3 linked regions of the Macaca fascicularis genome follow. The protein of the gene in region 2 interacts with the protein of the main gene of each other region in a pairwise test. Links are inferred from orthologs where the notes say so. Each region holds a gene or a part of one and is shown on either strand. Other genes may lie near its edges. The genes, in order: CNOT4, UBE2E3 and RNF167.

The links.
Region 1: the proteins of UBE2E3 (region 2) and CNOT4 interact in a two-hybrid assay, tested with the Homo sapiens proteins (3 studies listed by BioGRID and IntAct). The link is inferred for Macaca fascicularis from reciprocal best matches to the Homo sapiens genes UBE2E3 and CNOT4.
Region 3: the proteins of UBE2E3 (region 2) and RNF167 interact in a two-hybrid assay, tested with the Homo sapiens proteins (2 studies listed by BioGRID and IntAct). The link is inferred for Macaca fascicularis from reciprocal best matches to the Homo sapiens genes UBE2E3 and RNF167.

The regions. Positions count from the first base shown.
Region 1 is NC_088377.1:177,038,677-177,048,908, forward strand, and holds the end of CNOT4 (CCR4-NOT transcription complex subunit 4), read right to left. Parts: intron 4,360-10,232; coding exon 4,147-4,359; intron 3,470-4,146; coding exon 3,168-3,469; 3' UTR 2,077-3,167; downstream 1-2,076. UniProt on the Homo sapiens protein: Has E3 ubiquitin ligase activity, promoting ubiquitination and degradation of target proteins. Involved in activation of the JAK/STAT pathway. Catalyzes ubiquitination of methylated RBM15.
Region 2 is NC_088386.1:76,484,036-76,494,362, reverse strand, and holds the start of UBE2E3 (ubiquitin-conjugating enzyme E2 E3), read right to left. Parts: upstream 5,750-10,327; intron 5,412-5,749; coding exon of another isoform or gene 5,369-5,411; intron 5,212-5,368; 5' UTR 5,187-5,211; coding exon 4,993-5,186; intron 3,195-4,992; coding exon 3,144-3,194; intron 1-3,143. Other genes in the region: uncharacterized protein, read left to right, coding at 5,369-5,411, 5,932-7,337. UniProt on the Homo sapiens protein: Accepts ubiquitin from the E1 complex and catalyzes its covalent attachment to other proteins. In vitro catalyzes 'Lys-11'- and 'Lys-48'-, as well as 'Lys-63'-linked polyubiquitination.
Region 3 is NC_088390.1:5,054,425-5,064,756, forward strand, and holds RNF167 (E3 ubiquitin-protein ligase RNF167), read left to right. Parts: upstream 1-5,110; 5' UTR 5,111-5,222; coding exon 5,223-5,306; intron 5,307-5,389; coding exon 5,390-5,470; intron 5,471-6,605; coding exon 6,606-6,731; intron 6,732-6,840; coding exon 6,841-6,928; intron 6,929-7,111; coding exon 7,112-7,202; intron 7,203-7,435; coding exon 7,436-7,541; intron 7,542-7,666; coding exon 7,667-7,760; intron 7,761-8,629; coding exon 8,630-8,701; intron 8,702-8,791; coding exon 8,792-8,872; intron 8,873-8,948; coding exon 8,949-9,250; 3' UTR 9,251-9,460; downstream 9,461-10,332. Other genes in the region: SLC25A11 (mitochondrial 2-oxoglutarate/malate carrier protein), read right to left, coding at 2,040-2,195, 2,320-2,371, 2,451-2,550, 2,636-2,726, 2,809-2,899, 3,076-3,282, 3,367-3,519, 4,124-4,218.

The sequences.
Region 1 (10,232 bases), on a different chromosome or scaffold from region 2:
TCACCCCAAAGGGTTAAGACACTTAATTCACGAAGCATCTGTGATCTACTCCAGAGGACTGGTGAAAAGCCATGGTGAGCTTTGACACAGGAAACGGACAGCAGACTGATCCTGCAGACCATATTTCTGCCAGGCAACTGGGACTGTGCTTACATGACAAGACCTACCCCAACTGGCAAGCCCTGTTTTCCAGGACTCACGCATAACCTTGGCCACTGCACTTCTCAGAAGAGGATTTCATAAATGATCAGAGACGCTAAAGCCAAGCTATGCCCCAGAAGCTGTTTAGTTTATCTTCTCCTAAAAGCCTTAATCTAATAGTGACAACATTGCCCTTTCCTTCCACAGCTAGGCTTGGGTTTATTACTCAGCTTTTTAAAACTGAACAATATATTATTCAAGGATAGATACACAGCTGACAAAACTCTTGAAGATTAACACAGAAATTAAAATAAAATTTGTAGATGAGGAGGAAAGAAAATGGTCTAATTGGAGAGGGCAAATAGCGGGCTTTTAAGATACTGAGGTTCTTTTTTTTTTTTTTTTTTTTTTTTTTTGAGACAGAGTCATGCTCTTGTTGCCCAAGCTGGAGTGCAATGGCACGATCTCGGCTCACTGCAACCTCTGCCTCTCGGGTTCAAGTGATTCTCCTGCCGCACCCTCCAGAGTAGCTGGAATTACAGGTGCGAGCCACCATGCCGGGCTAATTTTTTTTTTTTTTTTTTCTAGTAGAAACGGGGTTTCACCATGTTAAGGCTGGTCTTGAACTCCTGACCTAAGGTGATCCGCCTGCCTCGGCCTCCCAAAGTGCTGAGATTACAGGCGTGAGCCACCGCACCCGGCCTCTATTTTTAACCTCGGTGGTAGGCACACAGATCATTATTATTTTTATTCTTCATACTTTTTGTAAAGTCATGCTTTCTATAAACTCTTCTGTATGACCGATTAAACATACACACAATTACAGCACAGCCTTATAAGGTGGAAGTTCCCTTCTTTTACAGAAAAAGCAACATTTTTATTGATATGCCCATCTCAGGACTCCCTCCCCACCCCGCAAAGAGCCTTGATTACAATTTACTGGCATCTGAACATTATTTGTGCATTGGTCCATCATTTGGCAGTACAATGTGAAGGTTCAGGAGACTGAAGCAAAGTTCAAGGGCAAAGAGAGCCTGTCATTTCTAGTCCTCTCCACTTACCCAGGGAAATTTTGTTAATTTTACAAAACAATTTACTAACCACTTGGTCACCATCTATTTGTGGTGACATTTATTTGAGAATACCACGTTTAAGTTTCTAAAACTTGTGTTGAAACTTTTTTTTTAACAAATTAAAGTACAGCGTACAGGTAAGGATGAAAAAAACCGAGCTGAAAACACAGAACGTATAATCTCTATCTATCTAGTTGATCCGACAGCTTCCCTTAATGGACATGGCTGAAAATATGCCAGTTCCTGCTTTGGGCTTCTGAATGCAGCCCAAGACAAGACATACAAACCACACAGATCCTGGTGTCTTGTTGGGGAACAGGTAACTTTTATCCCCTACCCTCTTTTGGTCAGTGGTGTGATCATCGCCCCTTCATCAGGTACTTCCTAAAATGGTCAGTCATAAAAGATGTGTCTGCGGATCATCTACATCAGAGTTTCCCGATCTCTTTCCCATCATGGCACTCACAAAGTGGTGCCACTTGTGTGACATAGTGGCTGCTGCTCCCGCCAGGTCTCCCTAAAGAGAATCAACGTCTCAGCATGTCAATAACCTCTCCATTACTGGCACATGAGGCTTCTCAGTTGGGAAGGCTTGGCCTGCATAATACAATAGCAGAAAGAGGAATCTTCTACTAAAAGCCACTGGAAGAGGGTTCTTGAGGACAAGATGGGCTGAACTTCAAGGATGACACTGACTGACAATAAAATCGTTGTTTATCCTCCACTTTCTTCTTCTAAGCCATCCTCCCTCCCTATTGTTGAAGATGTAAAATCAAATGGAAACATCTGATGGCTACTTGTCACAAAATCTTTCAAACTCACATGCAACAAAATGGAAAAACAAAAACAAGAACAACCCAAGTGTCATCATCAAGTTTTCTGTTTTATTTAAGATTTTAGTTTTAATTCTGAAGAAAGAGGTACATTTCCTTGTTTTTAGTTTTAGCGTCAGGTTATAACCAGGTTTTTGTTTTCTTTTCTCCTGTCTTTTCAATACTGCACAAACGTCCAGAAACTACAGGGTTAAGTAAAAGCTGCAGGCAAGGAGGTCAGAGGTTTGCTCCTGATGGTGATCAGATGGCCCCAGAGCAGTGCTATCTCAGAGTGCCCTCGTCAGGTGAATTTACGGTAAAAGAAAAAAGATTCCGACAGAGGAGAAGGACTGAAGAAATCACTTACATTTCAGCTCTTATATTATTAATAGGTATTAAATCTGTGAATACTTTTTTTCTTTAAAACATTTCAATTTACTTTAAATCTAAAGCCAAAAAAATTTTCTCCTTTAAAAAAATTACTTCTCACCTCCTTATAAACTCTTTAGCAATCAGCCAGTTACTACTACAGATGAATTTGTCTTTCCATCAACTTCCAATACATTCTTTTGCTTAACGACACAATCAAGTCCTTGCCATCAACTTGCCAAAATAATTAAAAATTAATTTAAATTAAAAGCATTTTCCCTGCAATAATGATAAGCTGAATACAAGATGGATGCTAGGACCACTGTTTTCCCCCATGCATTTAGCAATCTCACGTAAATGAACCTGGTTTTCAAACTTCTGCAGTTGATAATGCATTTACTTGACCTTTCCTATAGATTAATCGCCATTTTCTGCTAAGCAGATTATGTCATTATTATGCGCAACAGACAAACAATAATTTTCTAAGTATTGAGACTGCCCTTTGATTTTTTTTTCTCTCCTTAAAAAGGCATTTTTAGAAACATTCAACAGTGTCACTCAAATGCTGGATCAACAAAAACTTTTACAATTAATAAAGAGATGGTAATGACCCTGTGATCGCATTGCATCTGGGGGTAGGGAGAAAAAAAATTGATCAGGTACTGGATTCTTCAGAACATAAGAGATGAGAAGGGAGCTGTGGGTGGTGGGCTGAGAGGGAGAAAACAGAGTGGGACAAATCCTGCATTTTCTAATGGTTGCTCCTCTTTGCCTAATGGCGGTCCAGTGTTGAACTCTGTAGTAAATCTGTGGGGGTTTTGCTGGGGGGTCTGAAGGCCGTCTGAAAGCCTGGGGGTGGGGAGTGGAAGCTGGAAGGGTTTGAAGGAGGAGGGTAGGGATTCCAACTGGCTCTGTGCAGCGGGATCTGTGTGCTGAAGGGGGCGCTGTGGTGGGTCTGTGATGGAGCAGCGCTGGGGCCGTCCATCTCTGTGAGGGCCTGAAGGGATTTTAGCCAGTGTGGAGGATTGTCATCTTGAAGAGAGTCTAAACTGTTTCCTGAAGATGCTGGAATACCTAAGGAAAGAAAAGAAAAAAGAGGGAAAATGGTGAGTTTGTGTGGAAAGAACAGGTCATCAAACAAATTTAGAAAACAAAACCAAAAGGAAACACAGAAGAGATTACAATTTTAAACTCCTTCCACATGAGACCTTTTAAACCTTCTGTTCCTTTGATCCTCCCCCAACAACCAAGACTTATTGTCACACAAACCCATGCCTCCTCTTGAACTAGACTTAGTCCCCCACTGTCACAGAGGCACAGCTGCAAAATACCATTCCCCAGAACTGCATGACGGCATTTCCCAATTGTGCTTTTCTTCCTCTGACAGGGATGCGTAACAAGACAGCCTTATAATAGAGAGCTTTATAACAAAAAGTGGAGTATGTTCCTTATAAGAAGAGTAAGTCAGATCCTTTTGTACTTTGAGGCCTACAAAATACACATGTTGCTAGACGTTAACACCTACTTAAACCAGAAGAAGCAACCTAGGCACCAAATGCCTTCTTATTAATACACAACTAGGCCGACAGGTTAAATGAGACTTGCATGACCCCTGAGAACGAAACAAGCCACTCCACACTTGCAGCTTTGTGAAAAGAAGCTTATGTTGAAGAGATCTTGGTTTTTATTTTATCTGTGCTAAAAACCAAACTGTTGGCAGTCAGTGGAGCTGAAGGGAGTGAGAAAGTTACCTGTGATGATGGCTGGGTCTGTCCAGCTGCCAGGGCTGTCCCAACTCAGGCTGTCGGTGGTGGCAGTGTTGGAGGTTGGTGCACTGTGGTTGGCGTTGGAGGGGGAAGAAGAATTGGGCAGTCCACCAAAGTTGATGTTAATGTTGGGTAGAAGTGCCCTTAGCCCGTCCTGCCATTCCTTCATATTTAAACTCTCTACAGAACTGCTGTTGTCTGGGAGATTTACCAACAAAAAAATGAAAGATAAAAAAAAAAAAATAAAAAGCTACGTTAGAAACATATGTTGTTCTTTAGTGGTTAAGCGGGAGAAGAATTATTCTTTCTTTATTGAGCATTTAAAATGGGTTGTCCTAGCAGGATAAACTTCATTAGGATTTTGCTCGTGAGCTGAGAGCCCCTGAAGTAAGTGAGGAAAAACCTGCTCAAGGATCAGGAGAGGGAGCTTCTTGTCTCTCTACAGCCTCTTCACCATTATGGGTTTGTAAATCAATAATCCAGTTTAAAGACTCAATGCTCCAGAGCACAATTTAGTTCCAGCTACATTATGAAGTTTCAGTTAGTGAGGCATTTAGCCAGCTGAGCTGATTTACGCTATAAAAAAGCCAAGTCTGCAAAGTCCAATATAGGAGCTTATTTCTCAGCCCATCAAATGGAAGAAAAGTCATTTTATGAAGAATAAACATAAGCAATAGAAAAAGAAAAATAATTAAGTCCTTCTTGATTATAAAACTGGCAATGTGTTTCAGAAGAGAAAAGCAGTAATGAACAGGCTTTTGAATTTGAAAAGAATGTATTTCCATTTAGTCACTAAGGCCAAGGAGGCAGGAGCTGACACCTTTTAGATGGAATGTCCAACACAGTCTGCCTGCCCTACTCCAACAGTTTGACCGATCATTCACAGCCGGAATCCTGGAGCCCTACAGTTTTCTGGGTCTATTTATGAATCGCATCAAACATGAGAAGACACTAGCAACATAAAAAAGGCTTTTTATAAATTGTGACTAAACTAACTTGATCTACTACCATCCAGAATCCACATAGTATAACTAACTGGTTGGGGGGAAAAGGGTGAAGTATAACAACTACTTAGATAATTGTTTTATTTAACAAATACTTAGATAGCTGTTTTATTGAAAATAGGAATGTAAATCAAATTACAAACGAGTTTTGGAAAAAAGCATAGAAAAATATTTCTGATTCTACAGAACTGATTAGCAATCAACGCTGAGGAGGAGGAAGAGATGGAGGAGGAGGAGGTTCTATCAGGCACGATCTACACTGCTTAGCAAAATCAGGATTTTCTTTTTGTAATTTTGCTTTCCACCAACCACTGATCTATGCCAAATTATATCATGTTTCAACAAGTGAAGCATTTAACTCCATTGACCTTATTTAGAAAAAGACAAAAAACTACAACTAAACTGAACAAAGGTCATCTCTGAACTTACTAAGATGAAGAAAAAGCTCTCTAGGCTACACAAAACAAGACATCAGAAGGGAAAATACATTCTCCAAGCCACTTTCATTTCATAATTGATGTAATTTACTAAACCTCACATTTCTTATATTTGCATATTATTTTACATTTGTATTGATTGTATGGTTTACAAGACACTCTAACAGTCAATTATTTCATTTGATCTTCACAACAGCCCTGAGAGGTAGGCAGAGGAGGATAAACAATCTGCATTTACTAGATAAAGAAACAGACTCAGGAATAATTTGCCCAAGTTCACAAAACTTGTTATTGAGAACCTGAACCTTAACCCTGACAAAAAAAAAAAAAAAAAGCAAGCAAGCTTACTCTCTCTTGATCTACTCTGTACAGACTATTAATTTTTTAAAGGGTCAAATATTAAAGGGAAAGTCCAGGGGAAGATCCACGATTGAAAGGAGGCAAGAGAGAAACACAGAAGCATTATAGTATGCCCACTGGTCATGATTTGAAGAGAGATATTGTGACTCAAGGAAGAAACTGGACTTTGTGGCCAGGAGAAAAAAATTCTAATCAAGAATACAATCGTTAGTTTCCCCCTGGCTCCCTAACTACATGAGACACAAACAAGATCACAAATTTAAGTCCTAGAACACTCTCAATTACAGGAAGGTTTACGGCTATGGAACATTCTAACTTTTAAAGCAGTCAAACTGTCAGGCTGAATAACTTAAAATAGCTTCCAATTAGGCAAAAACAAAACAGGGAAAACTTCCTGGAAGAAAAATAAAATCCCCCAGAAATAGAAAGATGATGTATAACTACATGGGAAAATGTTCAGGAGGATAAATGCTCTTACACCGAGTGGCTAACGTCCCTAAGAAGTCCATGCAAATGATGATCCTCCCTCTTCTACTGACTAGGGAGAGAGAGAATAGCCCATAAGTCAGACCAATCTGCTCCTAACTTTTGCTTTACCATTTAGTGAGCAATGAAACTGAGGAACATTTAATTTTGCATTAACAGAATAACACTTGCATTTACATAAATCTTATTTGAAAATCAGTAATAAAGTCAAAAGACAATAAAGGCAGAGGGGTTATATGAGAACTCTCTGTACTTCCCACTCCATTTTGCTGAGAACCTAAAACTACTCTTAAAAAAGTTTGTTTTAAGGGACATTTGTTCCTGTAATTGTAGACTAATCAAATCAAGCAAGAGTATGTTAGCCAAAGAAATTCACATATGGCACATGATGCAGAAACAGTGAGAAATTTAGATCCCAGGTGCACTATGATTACAGGATACCTTGGGAAATAAATTAGCTAGTTTATAATGCAACAATCTTTACACCCCTCCTCCCCCCAAAACATCATGTGCCTTGACATTTTGGGAGCCTGACAGCATGGGTGTGTGGCTTACAGTAAAGCTGCAAGCGTTACAGGGAAGTAGAATGATGCTTTTAGCTCTTGGAATAGGACCATATTCCATCTAGCTTAGAAGAAAAGAAGTTTATTTCACTGTTTTTTCCACTATTGCTATGCCAAGTGTTGGCACAAAGAAAAGGTGAGAGAAAGGAAATCAGCTTAATCCTAACCCCATCAAAATAGCTCATCTCAGTCCAGCCGTACCTGAAGTCACGTCCTTGACTCCCCATTCCCTCCCAATGACCCAAATTTGTCTTGGCTGCAAGGGCTTCTGGCAATTCCATTCTTTGAAACACACACAGCAGGGTTTATCAACCTCATCACTACTGACAGTTTGAACTACATAATTCTCTGTTGTGGAGCGCTGTCCTGAGCACTGTGGGAGGGTAAGCAGCATTGCCGGCCTCTACCCACTAGAGGCTAGGGGTACCAGCTCCCCAGTTTTGATAGCCAAAATTGTCTTTAGACATTGCAAATGTCTTCTAGGGAAGCAAAATTGCATCCAGTTGAGAACCAGAACCACTGACACAAACGAAGTCGATTCCTTTGCTTCTAGGGCTCTTAAATGATCTAACTTGACTGCACATTTTCCTTTTGAATAGTACCAGGACTTTGACCACTGACTCAACTTGATGCAAGTTCATTTTCTTTTATGTATACAGGACTTCACACTGGAGTACAATTCAACGTGTATAAGTCAGTAGGTTTCATATAGAAAACATTGTAGATAGGTTGTATAAGGCATCTCTACAACTGGCTGTCAATATAATTTAGCCATGTATATCCCAGGACTCCTAATTCATAAGTAAAAATAACACCGGCCTTACTCTCTCATAAGGATAAAAGTAAGAGAAGGAAATGCAATTTGGAGCACATTTATTACTTGCTAAATGCCTAACAACAAATGCTCCACTGGTGGTCAATACTGAATGGATATAAACTTTCCAAGAAGCTAAGGCAGAGTATTTCTTACTGCCAGGAACTAGCCCTGTGTACAAGTCTCCTTTTAGGAACTTAGGAATAGCGCCCATCATTCTCAGCGGTACTGTGAAGTCAATCTAATAATGAGCCTTCTCATTGCTAAAACATTAGAAAGATACCAGAAAGTACTTTAAACTTACCATAAGATGTGAAAAGAGCAAGCAAAGTAAAATAAAAATCAAGTTACCAAACATTTTATATTAAAAACAATACTAATTTTATTTTTAAAGTAATTAGTAATAGTATAATACATCAGGGAAGGAGTGTTTATTCTTAAAGAATTGATAATATATTTAGATGTTTTCTGATGTAAAAAATTTTACTTTATGGCATATAAGTATGTACAACAAAACACTATTTTCAGTTCTAAACAATCTGAGGGCAGGAAAGGGGGTCAAGTTGTTGGTAGTAGTTCTATTTTTCAGTGCAGAACTCAAAGGCACACAATTTAAAGTACTTTCAAGATGCCATGTGCCACACTTTCATATTCTACTGTGTAAGAAGTATCAGTATACTTCGTTTGCCTGCCTCAGAAAACCTCTTATTAAAGAAGAAATTATAGTTAAAATTCTGCTACTTTGCTGGTCAAGGTAGCAGAATCCATAGTAAGCTGATCATGATGCACTAAACAAGTTGACAAGTCTAGTTTTTAGCAACAACAACAAGTTTAAAAAATCAGTATAAAATGCATATATTAAGACCGCCAAGCTAAAAATCAAAGCAACTCTTTACTGAGTGCCTACAGTGTGCGTGGAACATAAAAGCACTTAAATCATGACCTCTGTTTTTAAGGGGCTAAAAGTCTAGACAGTGGGACGATGAAAATACACGAAAAGTTCAACAACTACATCTGAGAAAGCAACAGAAGAAACGCCCAGGGTGGTATATGATTAAAATAAGCTACATAAGTTCAGTAAAAAGACAGGCCAGTTGGGACACGTATGGGAACGTGTTGGTGGGTGAAGAACAGCAGCATTCGTGGAGTTGCCATTTTAGTTACTACATAGCTTTCCCCCTCCTCCCACGCCAAACCTGAAAATCTCACAACAGGTTGAAACTATCTTTAGTATTTCTACATAACACTGTACAAGTCCAACTGTTTACTAGGAAGTACACAGAAAGGCATTTTAAACAATGACTATCTTATAGACTATATTTCAGAATGAATTCTGACATCAGACCTTTCACAGAACACTGCTTGGGCAAGCACACACCGTTAGCATTAATAGCATACAGAGTGGGTATCCCTCCTTTCTGTTCTCCAGGTTAACTGCAATATGTTAATTATTATGAAATGTAAAACTATAAATAGCAAAATGTGGGCAAACCTACTCATAACAGTAACCTGTCACTGGCAATAAGCCAATGAGTTTTTCTAGCTGGCATAAAAAGCTTCACCTGAAAGAATGGAAGTTGAGGGGGCAGGGTACCAGGACAAGGCATCCTTCCTTCCCACCTTGATTTTATGTAGTTTACGTAGGGCACCATGTAAAATTTAATTTGAAAAATAAGATCTGCTGCTAAAAGGGTAAAGACATAGATGATCTCTGCATAATGACAACATATTGAGATAAAACACACGTAAAACAAGCCCCCAAACAAGACAATTCCAGTAGATATGTTTCCACGAATATATTTTTGTGCCATCAAATCAGGATATTGTGCCTTCTTGGAATTCTTGCCTCTATTTTATTTTTGGTACCAACTCCTCAAGGTCTTCTCATCAAACAATAAATACACCCCTACAGGGTGCATTTATCCTCAGCGAGGATGTCGCTCACTGAGAGACCCAGTCACAAAATACACCTAAAAGTGTTTATTCTGCACTTCAGTTTGTGAGCCATATTTAATGGTCATTACCAAAAGGCTCAATACAACCTGATTTTTTCTAAAAAGCTTTTGTCTTCCATCTTCACTCTTGTCCTTTACAGTTCAAAACCACATGCTCCAGTGGTTAGGTTACTTAAACAAATCTTTCTTGGTGCAAGTGGCTACACAACAGAAACCTGGTTCCTACTCTGATTAACTCTTTGCCAGTTAGACTTCCAAATCTTTGTGCATTTTTAGAAAGACATAGGGAACAACCTGTCCTAGCTCCTGCCCCCACACCCCTCCCTCTTATAGATGATCTCCTCCCAGTTTTGGGATGGAGTGCATCTTCATCAGTATTTGATTTGAACAAAGTCTCAACTTCCTCAAACCTCAACAATGAATCTCTAAGTGACTCAAATATAAATGATTTA
Region 2 (10,327 bases):
TAACACAATTTCCCTTGACTCTCATTGATGTATCAATTATTTATACTCTATGTAAACAGCATAAATTGAAACCAATAAATAATATATCCCTATGTTTAGTACACTATGGTCCATGGCCCTCCAATACCTAAAACCTAAAATAACATCAAATCACTGGAAATAACGTCATTATCAAACTTTTACATTATCAGGAAAAGAAATATCAATGCTATCAAAATATACTAAAACATGTATAAAGCCATACACAATACTAACATCACCCTGGGTGTGTATGTACTAGACATAACTATATACTAATTAAACAATATTTCATTAATTAAAAAATAGGAAGGGATTTTAAAGAAATCGTCCCAGTCTGAATAATTTTTGTTTTGCTGAGTTTTCTTGTATTTCATTCAACGTTTTCCTGAATGTACACAGATATACTTTACATTTCTTCCCCGAGGAAGAATTAAAGCTGTCACGTACTTTGACAAACTTGTAAAAATCGTATTCAAGACTGTAATGGAATTCTGATTAAATAACTACACATGAAAGCCAAATGTATTAGGTTTCATAGATCTCAGGCAATATGAATTCACATATTCTAGAATTTATGAATATAGATTCCATTTTTAATTACAGCATAAATTAATAAATTTAAACTGTACAATCACCGTAAAGCTAAAATTCTCATTTACGCACTTGTGAATTAAAAGAACATAACACCACAGTCTGTCACAGATCTGACACAAAGGCAAAAATATAATACAAATTCAGGCTTCTTACTTGTCAAAATTCTAAAACACCTTTACTGAATACTCAGTATTCCAATTCCCACTCAAGGACAAAAAGTAGGTCTTCTTCCACCCAAAAGAATTTGAAGACAAACAAAGTATCTGGATATTTTACATGTGAGGCATAGGGAAAAACACTGCCTCCAATAATAAGCAACAACTTATCCTGGTTCCCTACTAAGACATATTTTATGTCTGTTTTTCACATACCACAGCCACACATAAACTCATCTATTAAAAGAACTTGAGAACTAAAAGATGTCATTTGCAATAGGTGAGAGTCATCACAGGTTGTGACAAGGGAAAGCAGGGATGAGGTGTTCCATGTTATTGTTCACAGAAAACTCAAAGTTTTGATGTTTCACTAGTCTAATCACTAAATGAGGAAGCATTATTTCAAGGACTTAAATGAAATCTGGTATATAAAGAGAAAGACAAGTGAAACCACCTATCTCGTGGAAAGATTCTACTCCCTCTAAAATAATCCTCAGTGACCTTGAGGAAACATTCCCAAGTTAAACATGTAAAGCAGATTTCTCTGGTAACTGCAACAGCAGGCTATTGCTCTGAGGGCACTCAACACATGTCTACTAGGCTTTCTAGATTTATGCATATACATTAGTTTCTTCCATTTGCAGAAAATCAACAGAAACCTTTAAAAATGTTTGACCTTACATGCAATTTTAAAACATTTAAGAGTTCTGAATTGATAGATCTTTACATTTTTCATAATGGGAAATATCAGAACACACTCTGCAAGTTAAGTGATTCTTCCAGCGAGCAAATTTAACTTGACCTCCCTAAATGGCTACAGATTTGACACACCATTTAGAAGGCTGGAGGGAAAATACTTTGATTTGCTTGTTCTCTAAAGCAGCACTGTTCAATAGAAATATAATGCAAGTCACATATGTAATTTTAAATATTCCAATAACCATATTAAAATAGTAAAAAATTGAAATTCATTTTAATAACATTTTATATAGCCAGATACATCCAAAATATTATTTTAACATGCAATGAACATATTTTTTAAGTCAATGCAATATTATACACTCTTTTGTTGTACAAAGTTTTCAAAATCCAATGTGTATAAATTTTACCCTTATACCACATCTCATTTTGGACTAGCCACAACCGAAGAGGTCAACAGCCACATGTGGCAAGTGGTGACGTTACTGGACAGCACAGCTCTTAAGTAATACTTTGAGATCTCACATACCACTATCTCCTTAAAATTAGTTTACATTCATGTTTCCTGTTTGAACTGAAATTACAAATACAAGCAAACTGTTCATTCAATGGATAAATCAGGATCAAATCACCTTATCTGAGGATCCAGTTAACATACACAGTAAGAAGCAATTGGATTATACCCTATTATATATCACAAGTAGACTTCAGAGATAGGGTCTATCATCCCAAGTGAATACAACTTGTAACAGAAATACAGGTTAAACACGAAAACATTTTCCTATCAAACCATAAAACTGCCTTATTTCTTGCAGCCGTTCGCATTATTGGGCACATATCTCTTCACAAATTATCTACAATATTGTTTTCTATGTGTGTTCAATTTTGTAAGCCATATAGTCATTTAAAAAAGAATAGAGCGCTATACAAATGAAATGAAAAAAATTATTGGAGAAAAAATACTCAACCAGATACTTTTAATGTATCTTATACCAACCAATAATCTTAAATTCATCTACCTGAGTTCCACTGAAATGAATTCTCACAATTCCAATTCATTTACTGCTTTTCATACACAAATTCCAACTACCAAAATTACTAAAAATTTCCTCAAGCCATCAGGACATTGGCTTAAAACGTAAATAATTCCAACAATGCATTCTGTAGAAAACGAGGACTAAAACCATTAGCTTAGCCCATAAAATTTATCCTTAAGGCTAGTAACTGAATAAATCAAACAGAACCAACTATATGCTTGTTTACTGCATTTACATTTTGTAACACCACATTCAGCAATTTCTAAATAGGGAAGGTCAGTACAGACTGCACACAAGCAGTAACTTTAAAGCTGAGCAAAATTTTAGAAGTTTCTTCAGTATACTTCTGAATAAACACCCTCTACAGAAATACATCAGAACAAAAATCAGCACCATTCATAAGAATCTCAGAAGCACAAAATCAGTATATTCATAAATCCACAAAGTATACTTATGCTAAAAAGTATTTTTCTCCCAATTTTATCTAGTTCACCTTCTACAATTTTTGTTTAATGCACTTGCAAAGCTGTAAAGAAGCAAACGTTGTCTCCTCTGCTGCACACATATCCAGACAATACATCAATCTCTTGATATTTTTCCACAATTTGAAACCGAAACAACAAAATTCATTTCTTACCTGCAATTAGGAGGAGGATCAAGGGTTATTTCAGCTAGCTCCTTCTGAATTCTGTTAGTGAAATGAGAAGAGACAAAAAGGATTTGAGATAGTCTACAGAATAACCAGGGAATTACACTGCCCTCTACCATCATGCAGTTAAATGCAAGGCTGGCTCTGCCTTCAGTAATGCTAACATGGCTGCTTCCTCTTTGTTCTCAGAGGCATAACCCAAATCCCTTAACAGAAACTTTGCAGCTTTTTTTCTCACTTGCTGCTGCAAATAAGTAAGTCATTTACACTTGATTTGAGAAATACTCATCCACTAGTACTCAGTAAAGAATATAATATCTATTTCAAAACACTTTTTACCAAAGAAATTCTCTTTTCAAGCTTATATGCAAATGAGACAAAAAGGGAGGAGGGAAAGCACTGGAATATTTGACAAGGACTTCGAGTGACTTTTACTGAGGTAAAAATTAACAGGCTACTGCAACAGCACATTAACAGTTCTGACAATATTTTATCTGTCAAAAAAAAAGTTTAAAATTTACAAATATCTTTACTGGTGAAAAACTTTCGAAGACTACATGACATTCTAATTTACCCATTTCTGTTTTCCCTGATCATAGGCACAGCACTTAAATTTAGTAAATATTGACAGAAAGAGAAAATACATAGGCCTGAGTTAAGGGGGAGAAAAGCAGTTCTCTGATTTGATTCAAATTTAAGATGCTTTCAAAACTTTAGACGTGTCTAATATGTTCTGCATCAACACTATACCAAATTGAGAAGGATTTTATATTATGTCAAAGACTGCTGCCATTCAAAAATATTCTCAAGTTATTAATACATCATTACTGAGACAATAAAGGTGAAAATCCATAGAAAAATATGAGTATTTATGAATCACCACAGAATGCAGTATTTGTAGAAATATTTTTTCCTTTAGTTGTGATCAATAAAAATTAACAAAATGTCAACATTGGCTAACGCTGTAGAGATTATACATTTTATGTATAATTACTAGAGTTTGTGGATGTTCCACTACTACTACCACTGACAGAGTCTCATTGACAGAATCTTTTCTTCTCTATCAGAAAATATAAATCAATAGGAAACAAATGATCTTCCACTTACATCCAATTAAATATGTTTCTCCTGCTGTTGAGTATTAACTTGTCAAGCACATCCACAAGTTTCAGAGTGAAGAGGTCCAAGGACAATGAAAGTTTTCTATCACCAGTGACACCTCAAATTGTAAAGGGCTACTTTTCAGTTTGATTTGCCCTCACAAGCACAGGGAGGGATAATCATAATTTAACCACGAAAGTTACCTGTGATACATGATTTAAAGTCATGTTTTGTAAAACTGTAAGCAGATTTGCAGCACGATTTTAAATCTGCTTTCAAACATAGCAAAGGCCTGAATTTGCAATTTTCTAGCAAATATGATCATTTCTGATCATTAAGTTTCATGAAGAGAGGCCCTGCTAATCTCTGGAAGTGTCAATTTCATTAAAGAAGATTATGACTCATAAAAGGAAACATCCCCAAAGTACCATCTAATTTGGGTTCACCAAATTTTCCTTGCCAACTCCTTAAACAATCTGTCAGAATGTTAGTCTAATCTCTACTCAAGGATACTCAACTGAAGTTACCGAAGTACAGAATAAGTTTGCTTAAAAGCATAATTCTAGCAAGGTTGCATACATACCACCTAAAGAATGACAACTCATTCAAGTACAAATAAACTGATAATGAAGTAAATATTTCTGAACTATTGCTACTGATGTAAAACCAACAAAAGCGTCCAACCACCTGGAAGACAACCTGACAAAGTGTGCTGGATCCTTCTTTTACACATTACCTTTTAGCACTAGTGGATAACTTAGCAGTGGTTTTGCTAGAGAGTTTGGTGTTTTTCTTCTGCTGGGCGGCAGAAGGTTTTCTTTCCTCTTGTTCTTCAGGCTCTGGAGCGGCTGGGTCTCGCTGGTCCGCATCTGAACTGCCACTGCTGGTGCTGGGGCTCTCATCATCGGACCTTTGCCTATCACTGGACATCTTGGTGAAGTTATCTCTTGGAAAACTTTTAAAGAGAACAGGGGAGGATGGGGAGAAAATGTTAAATCTAGGAAATAAACCAACAGCATTTTCTTCTATTCATCTAATATCGTATTGTAATGAAAAAGCTTCAAAAGTGTTCACACTTATTTCATCATACAACAAGGGTTACAAGGGAGGTGATGTGTCACACAACGCCAGCGTTCAGGGATTTGCCGAACTCAAGTTAGAAAACCCACTCACATTTTTTTCCATCTCTTGGACAATCTATCAATTGTCTACTTTCTCAGAAGGCATGAAACAGATTTGCCAAGGAACTTAGGCAACAAGCATTAATAACATATGACATACTGTAAATAACAGATCTCGCTGAAAAAATGTTTAAAAGTCACTAATAACGTCTAAATATTTACACACTGACATTGGTCAAAGCTACCAAATTCCCTTTCCGAGAGGAAAACACACCCTGTTAATCGCCCATATGCTTATTTAAGGTGGCGATTCCTTCTCAGTGCACGTAAAGGCTTTAAACACAACACTTGGAAATTTAAAAATCAACTAACGAGCTCCTCTAGCTGTTTCCACCGCCAGCAGCGAAGATTCATCCGGCCAAGACCTAGCTGCCACCCTGGGAAAAGCAGAATTCAAACTGCACCTTCTGCAAAGCTCCCAATGCCACCAAGGTTCCTCGCTCAATTTTTACATCACGGACCGACATTTTGTCCAAAATAACGAAAAAAATAAGAAACCCAGAGGAAAAACAAACAAACAAACAAAGCCCCAAGAAGTGCAACAAATTTCCGCGCCCGCGGAGGCGAGTCGCGGCCGGCGGCGGCGGCCACGCAGCTCCGCGGCCCTTTGTGGGGAGGGCCGCGCGGGGGCCGCGGGCAGCGCTCGCCGCGCCGGGCGCCAAGTGATGCGAGCAGCCCGGCCGGCCCCGCCGCGGCTCGCGGACACCGGCGGCGCGGGCGCCCGGCGCGAACAAAGCTGCCCGCCCCCGCCCCCTCCCCCACCGCAGCCGCCGCCGCCCCGGCCGCCCCCCACGCGGCCCCCCGGCCCCTCCGCCTTACCTCGGCCGCCCGCCCGGCCCGCTCGCGCGCCGCTACGGTGTGGGGGAGGGAGAGAGAAAAAAACCCTTCCTTAAGGAAATGGAGGCAGCTGTGGGGGGGGGAAGGGGGGGGAGGGAAAAAAAGAAGCCGAGGAGGCTCTGGCCGGGGAGTGTGGAACATTGAAAGTCGGAGGGGGTTGTGCAGTGCCGGGCTCCGGCCGGAGGGTGGCGCCGCCCAGCGCCTTCGGAAAAAAGGGGGGGTGGGAGCTCGGCTGGGCGAGGGCGCGAGCTCCCGGCGAGGCGGAGGGGACGCGGGAGACCCCCGCGCGCTGTGGCCTCCCGCCGCCGCCGCCCGGCTCGGCTCCTCCCGGCCGCGCAGTCAGCAAGTTCCGAGGCGAACGCGGGGGGAGGGGCGGGCGCGGCGGCGGCGCGCGTGCTCGCTGCTTGCCTGGCGGAGGGGCGCGCGCCGCCGGCGCCCGGCGGGCGCGAGCTGTTCCCGCGCGCTCCCGCGCGCGCTCCCCGCACCTCCCCTCACCCGGGGGGTGCACGCGTCCGCCCGCGCGCGGCCAGGACAAAGAGCGCGGCGGGGACCTGGCGGGCTGGCCCCTGCCGCCCTTGGCCGCGGAGCCTGTGCCAGAGAAGGCGGGGGCGCGGGCACCGTATCGTGGGGCCGCTGTGCCGCGGGGTGGCTTCCGGCCTGGGCCCGCCTCCGGGCGGAGGCTGCCCATTGGGCTACCCGCGTCCCCAGGGCTAGTTCCATCCCGTCCGCCTGCGTGGGGGACGTCGTGGCTCCCGGGGCCCCAGTACCTGGGAAAGGGCCCTGGGCGCGTGGTTGGGAGTCCCCCGCCGCCCCGGGAGACGGGAGACTAATGGGTGTTGTTGGCGAGGCCAGGCACGCAGGCGGAGAAGAGCTGCCACTTGCCCCTCGTGTAAGCTGGAGGAAGGGACAAGGTGGGGTCCTGGGCATTGAAGAGAGTAGAATATATTTGTTGATTAGGGGACCAACCTCTATTTATTTTTGGCTCACAGCTTGCAACTGTCGCTGCCAAAAGAGACCGTCCTTCGGATGCTTTGAAACCTTAAAAATCCAAAACAGTGTTTAAAATGTCCCGCTCAACATTCTTAAAAGTGAAGGAGAAGAGTTTGGGGTTGTGGGGTGGCGATGAGAGCTAAATACATGACACTTTTCTGCGGGACTCTTCTGCCTTGCACGAGGTGCCAGTTCTGGAAAGAAGTCCTGAGTGATGGTGGGTCAGAATGTCCACCCAGAAAAGCTTTAGGTGGAGATAGTGACAGTTTTGTTTGTTCTACCATTCTTTTTGCAGTCTCCAGGTGGACTGTGCGGTTTTTACCCCGCGGCACAAAGTAGCCAGAATACAAAAACTTCCTGTTTGCCGCCCAGACCTTCTCCAGCTACTGAGAACTTGTTCCGGTGATGGAGCCTCAAAGGAATTTGTGGATTCCTCTCCCACAAGTGTCCAGGGGCAGGGGTGCTGTGAGAATGTGCAGTTCACAGAGGGAGTGAGAATGGCAGAGTCAAAACATGTACCAGAGTTAAGGGAAAGACGAAAAGACTGAGTGAGCCAACTATTTGCTTATTATTTCTCCTAATAGAAAACTTTTGGTAAAAGCTTGATAACAACTCTAAAGAATAAGTTACATTTACGTAATTTTCCAAAGACACAGTCATTCAGTTAACTTTATTGAGGGCTCTATGTTGCTAGGTGCTGGACACACTCATTCAGTTGCTGTGTGACTAAAGCCAGGTCTCTACTCTGTGCTAAGAGCTCCTCATCCAGAAGGGGAACAGTTCATTAAAGTTCACTAGATTCATAAGCAGTAAGGATATTCCACTCAGAATGAACAGATAGAATAACTCATGCCTCAAAAAAGAGCATGGTCGGTCTGTGGACGAGCATTTTGATTTGGCTGGGTCAAAGAGTGCTTGTGGGAAAAGCTTGTTAGTGAAAATAAACGCAGAATTTTCCCCCAGCTTTACACGATGTGATGTTACAGCAAAAGCCAGACAATTTGGAGTTCAAGCTTTGCTTTGTTTGGAATGGGGAGATATAAAAGGAAAGCTGTATGCTAAACATGGGTTCTTTTAGGAAATTTAAGAACACAGAAATAGCCTGAAGGCCCAAAGGCCAGTTGCTGATAGGATTTAGTGGGGTGAGGAGCTTAGGGGAGAAAGATATTTAGTTGTGTTTGGTAACGTCTTCAGAAATAGTATTGGGTTGAAAAGCAAGGTAAGTGTATTCTAATCCTCATTCTACTAAGTTCATATGACCTTGGGCAAGTTAAGTTATTTCAATTACTCTTATGTAAAAGGAGATTGTATCAAAGGTTCTAAACCCTCTTCTCAAAAATTCCATGATTCCATGATTTTTTGGTGAGTTTGAAGTCATGGAGTTTAACTTAACTTTCACCCAACAGAATATTCAGGATCTACTAACTGCTTGGGAAACTGGAGTGAAACATGGGTCATGCTCTTAACCAAGCTCGATTGTGTAGTGGGGCAGCCAGAAAAGTAGCCTGCAGAATGAGAAGTGCTATATTAAAGAAGTGAATGAGAATAGAGCATTCTTAATCATCAATTAATTAATAATGGAACTATTAATTCAGGTTGGAGTTGTGGGGCGTGAGGTAAACGTCAAAGAAGGAAACATTAGATTAGTCCTGGAGAGAGCACTAGGGCTAGTGATAATGTAGATAATATAGGTAATACTCTTGGCAAAATACCTGGAACTTGGGTGTTCAACAAATAATACCTATTGTTAAAGTCACCATAAATATAATGAATGGTTCCATGAGGTTAGGGGCAGTAGTGCCCTGCCCCCCCAATGTGAGGTGCCTGGCTCCCTTCATTCAGCTGACTCAAGGGGTTGCTCAAATGATTTCAACTCACAGCTCCTCTCCCAGATGACATGGCATCACCTCCACCAGACGTAACTTGTAAGGTACAAATTGCTTCTAATGTTTAGTTCTTCCTCATGTGACAACCTGTTTTGTAATTATTTTCTCTCTCTCTCTTGTTTTTGCTATGTCAGTCCTTGAAATTAGGGTTCATGTTTCACGGGCACTCTTGGGAGCATATAAATTTGACCTAATGAAATTATTTCATAAAATATATAATAAAAAGCGCCCTTTTCCCATAAGGTCCCTCAGAATAGTTTCACAAGCAGACACCAGCTACCACACAAAAGATTGTTTCTTCTCAGTCTCTTTTCTTTTCTCTTGTTGGTGTGGGGTCCTGCCAGCCTCTCACTCACAGCCCTGAGAAGGGCAGTAGTAGGAGGGAAGATGCCGAATCCAATTGCAGTATTACAATGATTATCTCTTATCCCCTTATCCACCAAATGTTGTGACAAAAAGAGGCCTGCCTAAGGGCAAATAAGTCAGACCCCAGAATCCTTTGCACCTCCGTAGTTTGGGAGATGCTTTTCCTTTCAATGAGTCTCTGTTATCTGTGTACATAATTGTGAGTATGTGTAACTAAGAATTTCACAGGATCTCTCACTGAATTACCTGAGAAGTTTCTTAATTGAATGATTATGTAAGCTGGGGTATAGACCTCAACTCATCCACCATGACCAACAGCATCCCTCACACATAGAAGATGTAGAATACATATGAATTTATTTTGTTGATTTTAAGGTGCTTTGTTTCCTTCCAGTCAATAACTTTTCTGAGTGTCCCTTCAGTTTTACTGGCTGTTTCTGATGCTTTCCAGTTACTTGTATCCTCAGTCCTCTGGCTAAGCAGTTTTCTCTTTCTACCCATAAACACTGGATTGGTTTACTAGAAAGGTATTTCTTGGCTCAGCCTTAGTTTACACAGCCTTGTTTGTCATTGTTAGTCCCAGTGTCTTTGGACCCCCAGAATCCAAGTGCACCCAGTGACATCTGGGTGCACTTCCACTGCATCCTGAGGGGAAAACCTGCTGTGTGCTACACCAAGGGCTGAGCCCTGGAGTTCGAAAGGTGCATAAGCCTTGGTTTGACGTCAGATAACTCAGTGATTATTTTCTGTATTTCTCTTTTGAGATAACTCTAAGGGAAGGTATATACCCAGAAAGGCTTATGTCATGGTA
Region 3 (10,332 bases), on a different chromosome or scaffold from region 2:
AATAGACCTTCAGTTATAGCCTGCACTTCCCCTGCCTGGGGTGCCTCCTTCTCTCCTCCAGGGCTGGCCACCCACCAGGCCACCCTAGGCATCAGATCCAGCTCAAAAATTGTCATCTTCCTGGAGTTTAACAACAACTGCTGACACCCACCTGGCAGCAGCCTGCAGTACTAGGGGCAAAGGTGGGTGCCTGCTTTGCACCTGCAGTCTCAGAAGTGCAGCTCTCACTGCCCAGGTCAGCAGGACAGCAAGGGGTGGGCCCTGCAGCATGCACCATTTGGTGAGTGTGACTGAATAGTCTTGGGTTTCCTGCTCTCAGGCTGGGACACAGGCAAACGGAACCCCATTTTTCTCATAAATCCTGCCATTCCCTAAACACACTGGTGTGGCTTCCTCTCCTGCCTTGTCTCCAGCCCAATCCAGGGCTTGGGGCCCAGAGAATGGGACCATGGAGACCCCCATCCCCCTCCAGATGGTCCCGGAAGATCTCCCAAACCTGAAAGTCTGACTGCATCTCTCCCCCGGTGGAGGACCAACTCCTGAGCTTGGCAGTCAGGGAGTGCCACGCACTGACCCCATCTGACAGTCCAGCTTCATCTCAAGGCAGATCACAGCCTGTGCTCCAACTATCACAAGCCTATAGATCACCTGCTCCCCGACAGTGTTTTACTCTAGGCCTTTGCCCTCAGTCCAGCCAGGTGTGCTGTCCTTGCCCCCTCCCCAGCCAGTATAACCACTCAGTGTGCAAGTCACTTCTCCCAGGTGAGGTCAGGTGCTTTCCAGGTTACCCTGCAACACTATTGCTACACTGTTTCCCAACTGCTCCTGTATAATCTTGCCTTCTGGACTGGAAACTCCTTAAGGACAAGGTTTAGGCTTCAAGTGTCTTACAATAGCCACTAAGGCCCAGGACAGAGTGTACACGGAGGCAGCAGCAGGGGTGCCACGATGCTGAGCTCCACCTCTTCTGCTGATGAGGCTCTGCCAAAGGGACAGCTCCCACCTGCTGCCTGCCTGTCCCCTAGCCTGGCCAGCACTCCTCAGTTTGACCTTCCCAAGTTCTTTTATGCCCCAAAGAGGTTTTAAGGCTCCTTGAGGGCTGGCCTGGGAACCACACATCTTCTAAAGAAATGGATAAGGTTCTCACTCTCCCCAGCCAAGGACGAAGATCAGGTCTCTGGCCAGCATCCCTCTTTCCTCAAGCTTCCAGTGCCCACCCACTTAAGCCCTGGCCCTCCACCCGCACTGCCTCCACCCCACAATGGTCTTCCTCTCTCAGAGTCTCTTTAACTCCTCCCTCTTTAGGCTGCAGAAGCAGTCATCAGACCGAGGGGCTTTTCCTGGGGATTATGTGAAATGATCTGTGCGTCTGTGGCATTCTTGGGCAAGTGGCTGGAGGAAACACGCTGGGCCTGGGATTTGAGTTTTTCTAGCCCTGTCAGCTGCTGTGGCATGACAGATTTACACAGCATTTGCATAAAACCAGCGGCTGCTTTTTCTTTAACAATTTTTCTTAAAAACTCCAGTTCCTATTCTCCAGGGGCACCAGCTTCTTTGTCCAGTCTCCTCCCCTCTCCTAGCCACCCCCCAGACTCTCCAGATTTGGGGCTGGTGTCATCAATCCGATTTATTAAGTCCTCAGTGAGGGGGAGGAAGGGCCACATCTCCCTCTGTAGGTCCTTTGACCATCTTGATGGCTTCTGCTCCTCCCTATCCCCTCAGTTCTGCCTTGGTTTCCCCAATGAGAAGGGGGATCTTCTGCTGTCCTGTGTGCCCTGAAACTAAAACCCAGGGGGAGGCCAGAAATCCTCAGGAAGTTTTCCAGCTCCCTGCAAGAATAGCCAGGGACAGAGAAATCACAGGATCAGGATGAGCAGGGCAAGCTGGAGCAGGGGGTAGAACAGACCAAGTCCTTTACCGCAGAGGAAGAAACCACACTGTGGAAGGGAAATAAATAGAGGGGTCCAGGGCAGCAGAGCCCAGGCCCCCAGGGCGCAGTGGCCATAGACGCAGCAGGCAAGTGGGAGCCCCCGGCCGCTTCAGCCACTGAGGAAGAGACGCCTGTAGGCCTTGTTCATCTGCTCCAAGAAGATGAAGGTGAGGACGGTGTGGGGACCCAGGCGGGCATAGTACGGTGTGAAGCCCTTCCACAGGCTGAAGAAGCCCTCGTAGCGGACAACCTTGAACAGGACATCCTAGACACAGACAAGCAGGGCGCTGGGGCTGGGACTCTAGGGCCCATCCCCCTTACCCAGCTGCCTTCACACCTTTCCCAGGGGATCTGACACCCCACCCAGGCTCCCAGAATGGCTTCCTCACCAGTCCGTTCTTGTATTCCGGCTTCCCATCAATCATCCGCATGTTCTGGATTCTGAAGGGGAGAAGGCAGGGGCATGAGAGACCGAAAGGACACCTTCCCACCCACCTCCAGGACCAGACTGCACACTCACCGGGTCTTGGCAATATCCACAGGCATGGAGGCAGCAGTGGTGACAAGACCGCTTATCATGCTGGCACAGAAGTGGCACAAGATGTTGTCAGAGAAGTAGCCTGGGGGAGGTGAGGCGGGGGTGGCAGTCAGCTCAGAGGTGGCTCAGGCCAGGCTGGGAGCTAAGGGCCCAGCTCTGGGTCTCACCTGAGTCCAGCAAGAACTGCTTGGATTGGGAGTAGGAGGCCAGCTGGGCAGCATTGACGACGACGGCCCGAGCCATGGTAGGGATGCAGCCCTGGAGGGAGGGGAGCGGGCAAGAGTCAGAAACCCCTAAAACCGGACTTCACAGCCCCCAAGTCTCCAGCCCCTCCACTCACCCGCCACAGGGTGAGGACTCCCTCTTCCCGGGTGATCCGAATCAGGGCATTAAACACATTTTTGTAGCCACGGCGCTGGTCAGCTGGAAGCCTGATAAGAAGGCAGGAAGAGGTCAAGATCAGGATAGCCCACAGGGCCCCACAGATGCAAAGAAAGGAAGGCCAGAACAGGTAAACGCTCTGCTCTAGATGTGGGATAGAAAAGGGGTCCTTTCATTCTAGATTCCAGGGAATGGGGCTGGGGTGAGGCTCAGACTTGGAACTCACCGGCCATCCGCAGTCATGCGGATAAGAGCCACTTCGGCTGGTGTTCCCACAAAGGCACCAGTGGCACCTGCCGTCATGCCAATCAGAGCCTTCAGCAGAAAGCCAGGGGGAGTACCATCAGCCCCAGTCAAGCGCTCAAACAACACGGTATAGATGCCAAGGCGGGTAGTGGTGTAGGTGGCCTGGCGCAGCAGGCCAGCCGACAGCCTGAGGAGCAGAGGGGTCAGCATATCAGGCCAAGGTCTGGAGCTACCAACCCACAGCCTACCCTCCATCCTGAGGCCCCAATACCCGGTGTAAATGCCCCTCAGGCCTTCTGCCTTCAGGATACTGGTGAGGGCATGGAAGCTGGTTTTGTACTCTCGAGTCTTGGCCCCTTCCCCACTCAGCTGCATCCGGTTCTTCACCAGGTCCAGGGGCTGGACAAAAACTGTAGCTCCCATCCTGGGGGAAGATAGAGGTGGAGTGAAGGGATTCACTATTCCAGATCTACCAGTGCCCACTGGAGCCTGGCAGCAAGAGGTTACAAAGGTCAGGGCCTGCCATGCGATTCAAGAATCAGGATGCTGGTGAGCATGTGTATAAGAGTCTATATGTACACCGAGTGCAACGGGTCTGAAAAGTCTAGTTGTCCAGTCGGGGCCATGCAATGCAAGTGCTCCAAGCAGCTTCATGACAGTCAAGCAGTGACCTGGGGCTGCACGCAGTCCGACACAGGGAGGGGACGAAGGGGCATCCAAGATTTAGGACTCCAGGTAGTCCTCCAGGAGCCATTTAATGGCCTGGAATCCCCTGTAGCCCGGCCAAGCTTAGCAATGCGCTGGGAAACTCAGGTGGCCCGGCGGGGATTGTGCAACGACCCCGCATGCAGTCCAGAAGGGGCCTTGCATGGGGCCCTAGCAGCCCATTGGGGAACTCGTAATACGCTGGAGATCACGCTGACCCCGTGCCGGCACAGTTCACTGCAACAGACCCAGAGATGAACCGGGCCCGGTTCCTTGCACCCGTCCCTTCCTCCTCTTTTCCCATCCCTGGGGCCTGAGCTTACCCGGCCAGGCCCCCAAACAGGAACTTGATGGACTTAGGGGAGGTACGGGGCTTCCCGTCCATCCCGCCGGCCCCGGCACTCGCCGTCGCCGCCATCGCCACTCAATGGCCCTCGGCTCCGGGTCCCGTGCGCGCGCGGCCCCGCTCGCGCCCAAGGTGACACCGCGCGCGCAACAGGGCGAGGGCGCGCGCACGCCCCTCCGGCTCTCAGGTCCGGCACCCGCTGGAAGCCGGCGCGGGCGCAGGCGCGCAGCGCAAAGGCGGCCGGGAGTAAGGCGGAGCTGAAGGAGGAGCTTGAGGGAAGCGTGCGAGAAGGGGTGTAACTGATTTAGGAAACCAGAGGAAAGGCGCAGTTTTCACCAAATTGGAATCGCGGGAAAATAGAGATGAGTTTGTCTCAAGGTCTCGCGAGATCGAGTGAGTACGGCTCACCAGAGTAGGAGAGCTCTCGCGATAGACACACCAAGCGTTCAGCAGCGAGGGGACGGGGGAGGTGGGGAGCACTCTCGCGAGATTTGAAGGAGCGGTGGCGGCGGCCAGCGGGAGGAGAGGTTTGTAAACTAGGTGGCTCCAGGTTTCCGGGCACCTTTATTAGGTCGTCTTCTGGGCCACCAGTGCTCCTTCCATCTCCACAGGCACTCCCTCCATCGCTGACCTTTCTTTAACCGGCCTTTTAGGACCGAAAGTTCTTCATCTCAAGCATCAAATGCTGAAAGCGGCCTGACTTTCTCTACCGGAAGCCCTTTTCCAGAGGCTGGGAACACGGCCCACCTGGCAGGAAGTCCCACCTCCTTGAGCTCCGCCACCCTTCCCGAAGTTTTTCTGTCACCTGTGTTAGGCTCCGTACCCTTTCCCCGTTTTATCCCCGTACCAGAAAAGGATACATTTAGTGCCTCTCACCCAGCTCCACTAAACGGGTTGGATATCTCATTCTTTGAGTCGGGGTTCCTTCCCCGGCGCCTCCATGTAGCTGGGAAGTGGGACCTGGGGGTGGTTGGACCCCTGGGATCCTAAAGGAGGGGCAGGGAGGGCGCAGAACTCCGCTTCTGCTCCTTGCTACCAGGACGAGCGGCCTCCTCAGCCTCTTTCCTCCCGCTGCCATGCACCCTGCAGCCTTCCCGCTTCCTGTGGTTGTGGCCGCTGTGCTGTGGGGAGCGGCCCCCATCCGGGGGCTCATTCGAGCGGTGAGTCCGAGGGACGGAGGAGGCAAGGGCGCTGAAGGGAAGGGTTGCAGGCTGAAGGGGAACATTGCCTTTTTTGTCCGCAGACCTCGGACCACAATGCCAGCATGGACTTTGCAGACCTCCCAGCTCTGTTTGGGGCTACCTTGAGCCAAGAGGGACTCCAGGTGATTTTCTTTCTTTTCTTTCTTCCTCTCCTTCCCCCCCTTTCCTTCCTTTTCTGTCTTTTTTCTTTTTTTAATATTTAGCAAGATCTTCCATCCTGGGCTGGGGTTGGGGAGGTTTGTCCTGGGTGAAACTGGAGGTAGGAAAATCAAGTTAGGAACTGAGCACGTATAGTGTAGAATCCAGAATCCAGAGGGAGAAGACAAAGTGTCCACCCCTGGAACTCCGAGGTTATCAGGGAGACTGAAAGTGGACAGAGACGGAAGGTAGGATCAACGGTCCTTATCAAGAGGGTCTCAGAAGCTATTGCTTGTATGACCTTGGGCAAGTTAATTTCTCTTTGAGCCTTAGTTTGTTTTACTGTAAAATGGGATATTTTAAGTTTTCCTAGGGTTATTGTGAAGATTAAATTAGATACGCAATTTTTGTAGTACTTCATCCCAAAGACTGCCACATAGCAAGAACTCAGTTGGGCCGTAGTAGCAGTGGAGTTGTTTGTGAGATGGGTAATTAGAAAATTGAAGAGGCCGGGCGCGGTGACTCACATCTGTAATCCCAGTTCAAGACCAGCCTGGCTAACATAGTGAAACCCTATCTCTACTAAAATTACAAACATTAGCTGTGCATGATGGTGCATGACTGTAGTCCCAACTACTTGGGAGACTGAGGCAGGAGAATCACCTGAACCCGGGAGGTGGAGGTTGCAGTGAGTCGAGATCGCACCACTGCACTCCAGCCTGGGTGGCAGAACGAGACTCCATCTCAAAAAAAGAAAAAGAAAATTGAAGGGAAGGGAGTGTGTTCTGTGTAAGTATTGGAGAGGAAACTGTGAAACAGAACTTGAGAGTCAGAACATTAGAAGGCAAAGTAATTGCATTAGCTTGCGGTTTAGGGTACAGATTAGCCCATCTGGGACAGCGAGAGGGATGATGGGAGAGTTTGGTGAAGGGATGTTTTATGTCATTACCTTTTCAAGAGGCTAAGAGAAAGTTGTGAGGTTGCGATGCTCAGACCCCAGGAAGGAGAAGGAAGTGAGGATAGAGGATGTGCAGCATGTGGGCTGGTGTGTTTGGTGGCCCTTGTAGGAGTGAAACCTAGGGAGGAGAAATCTCACTGTTGTTTGCTTCCATCCTTCAGGGGTTCCTTGTGGAGGCTCACCCAGACAATGCCTGCAGCCCCATTGCCCCACCACCCCCAGCCCCGGTCAATGGGTCAGTCTTTATTGCGCTGCTTCGAAGATTCGACTGCAACTTTGACCTCAAGGTTGCTGAATGTGGAGTGGGAGCTGGGCAGCTGAGGGTAAAAAAAGGCACCAGGAATGAAGACAAGTCAGGCCTATGATGGCTCCTTGTCCTCTGCCTTGTCTTCCTAGGTCCTAAATGCCCAGAAGGCTGGATATGGTGCCGCTGTAGTACACAATGTGAATTCCAATGAACTTCTGAACATGGTGTGGAACAGTGGTAAGGCTGGAGGAATCTATACAGCTGGGCTTTCAGTAGGACCCAGAGATGGTGGGAAGGCTGAAGGTTTCAGGAAAAGCCAATCCTTTAGGTGGGTTGGGGCGAAAGTGCCAGATGCCAGGGTTCCCAAAGGATTTGAGTAGAAGGTTGTGAGTCCCCAGAGTAACACCTTGATCCCTGCAGAGGAAATCCAGCAGCAGATCTGGATCCCATCTGTATTTATTGGGGAGAGAAGCTCCGAGTACCTGCGTGCCCTCTTTGTCTACGAAAAGGGGTAGGACATATGCCTCCTTCCCATTCTTCCTTCAGCAAGCAGTTCCATGCCAACCTGGAGCCCAGGCCTCATTACCCGAACCATTCAGCCTCCTGTCCTTCCTTCCCTGCCTCTTTGACTTTATTCCCATTCCCATCCCCACCTATGGGCTTTGTCCAGAGCCAGTTGCTTTGTCCCTCTGTTTTTCTCCCTTTGCCTTTCTTTCCCTGCTGAGACTGGTCATCCTTTCCCAGGGCTCGGGTGCTTCTGGTTCCAGACAATACCTTCCCCTTGGGCTATTACCTCATCCCTTTCACAGGGATTGTGGGACTGCTGGTTTTGGCCATGGGAGCAGTAATGGTGAGTAGCTGAGGGAACATGATGGGAAGCACTGAGGCCAGACTGGATCTGGAGTTGGGAGTGGCTTGTCCTAGATTGTCTAGTTTTATTCCTAAGCCTTGTCCATCCACCCCCTCTTCCACCAGATAGTTCGTTGTATCCAGCACCGGAAACGGCTCCAGCGGAATCGACTTACCAAAGAGCAACTGAAACAGATTCCTACACATGACTATCAGAAGGGTGAGGGGTTAGGGGAGGAGAGGGTTTTTCCCACCGTTTACCTGGTTCTGAAGGACTTTGAGCCCAGAAGATAGGGTATACAAAGATGGCAGTGGCTGGGCACAGTGGCTCACGTAATCCTAAGTGCCTGTAATCCCAGCACTTTGGAAGGCCGAGGTGGGTAGGTCGCTTGAGCCCAGGAGTTTGAGACCAGCCTGGGCAACATGATGAAACAAAAAAATCCCACCACTTTGGGAGGCTGAGGCAAGTGAATCCCTGGACCCCAGGAGTTCCAGGCCAGCCTGGGCAACGTGGTGAGACCCCATCTCTATAAAATATAACAAAAATTAGCTGAGCATGGTGGTGTGCGCTTGTAGTCCCAGCTACTTGGGAGACTGAGAAAGGAGAATCACTTGAACCAGGAAGGCGGAGGTTGTAGGGGGCTGAGATTGCACCACTGTGCTCCAGCCTGGGCAACAGAGGGAGTCCCTTTCTCAAAAAAATAAAAGTAATAAAGATGGCAGTAAGAAATTTTCAGCTTGAGATGCTGTCTTGTCTTGTTTTTACCCATAAATACAGTGAAGATGGGAGAGATGTAAAGCAAAGATGATTAAGTGAAATAATTGTGGGAAATAATAGAGGGACAGACTTTGCTTATGGGGGATGTGGAGAGCAGAAAAATGGGAGGAATGGGGGAGGATTCAGTTAGAGAAGGAAGAAAGTGGTACTGTGGGGCTGGGGCTTTAGGCCCTGGGGCCTCCAGTGCCCGTATAAGGCTATGGCAGAAGCTCTGCCCATTTCCGTCCCTTCCACTCCGTATCTCCACCCTCACACCTCCCCAAAAACCACTTCCCTTCTTACCTCTGCTTCTCTTTGCTTGTCCCTTTTAGCCCTAAATTCTTCCATGTTCTGCCCTGACCTTATCCTGCCTACCTGTCTTAGCTCTTCCACTGGCTTTGTAGGTGAGGGAAAATTTTCGCAAGGCTTTAAAAGCCTTAGCCCTGGGTCACGATGGCTCAGTGAAGGACTAGATTATTTTCTTTCTGTCCCAGGAGACCAGTATGATGTCTGTGCCATCTGCCTGGATGAATATGAAGATGGAGACAAGCTGCGGGTACTCCCCTGTGCTCATGGTGAGGCCCTCACTGCCTGCCCATGCCCCTCTGCCACTGGCAGCCACCAGGTGCTTCACCTTGTTCCTCTCTGCAGCCTACCACAGCCGCTGCGTGGACCCCTGGCTGACTCAGACCCGGAAGACCTGCCCCATTTGCAAGCAGCCTGTTCATCGTGGTCCTGGGGACGAAGAGCAAGAGGAAGAAGCTCAGGGGCAAGAGGAGGGTGAAGAAGGGGAGCCAAGGGACCACCCTGCTTCCGAAAGGACCCCACTTTTGGGTTCTAGCCCCACTCTTCCCACCTCATTTGGTTCCCTAGCCCCAGCTCCCCTTGTTTTTCCTGGGCCTTCAACAGATCCCCCACCCTCTCCTCCCTCTTCCCCCGTCATCCTGGTCTAATAACCCTCTACATGTACACTTCTGGTGACCTATTTGCACAGACCGTCTTCTTCCCTCCAGTCTTCTAAGTTGAGGGATAGGGGACATTCCATCCTAAGTTGCTCCCTTACCCACACCTATCCTTTTGAGGGGCATTGGGGTGGGGCTGGGGCAAGCAAAGGGACTGGGTCTTCACTTCTTGGGCTAATAAAATTGTTTTTTGTGGACTAAGGAAGGGTGAGATAATTTTTAGGTGAACTTAACCCTTTGGGGGAATCACCCCTTTAGCCATAAGGAGCAAGAGAATGCTGAGACACTAACCTATAGTCATGGGGACAGCCCCAGCAGGCATTTGCTATGACTCAGGGGGAGCCCCACCCACAAGGATGACTCAACTAGCCCTGCCTTGCCTGCAGGCCTGCACCCATTCTCTGGTCCAGATGGCTCTATTCCATTATCCACCAATTTAACCAGCACACTGAGGACTTAGGCCTGGAAATGCCACTGTGGAGGGGCAGGGCCACCTGGCCAGAAGCTCAAATTCTTGCACCTTGTAGTACCTCAACCTTCCTGCTCCCAAGCCATGATAAAGGAGGCAAGTCACAGTGCCTGTCCCCCATTCTGACACCCAAGCTCAAATCACACAGCACCTTGTTAGAATCTTTTTTATTCAGAAAAAAAAAAAAAAAACCCAAAAAACAAAAAAGTTTTCCAACCACACACAGGAGGGGTATGGGTAGGGGGAGTTGTCTGTCCATCCAGCCCTGGTCCCCAGCCCATGTGGTTTTGGCAGCAATAAGGGGTATGGGGTAATGGCCTAAAAAATAAAATGGTGTATGTGTGTATGGGGGAGGAAAGGGGTGCAAAGCTGTGGGGAGCGGTGAAGGGGAAGGGACAGACGAGGTCAGTACTGGGAGCGCCGAAGGTGGGAGGCCATTTCATAACATTTCTTGTTGATCAAACCACCGTGGACACCTTCTTTGCCCATCAGCAGGACTAGCGCTGGAGGAGGAAAGAGAAAGGAGGCTAGGACCCAGGTGTCACAATTCCACCCCCTGCCAGCTGTTCAGCAGCTGTCCAGCCCTGGGGGCTGTAACCCAACC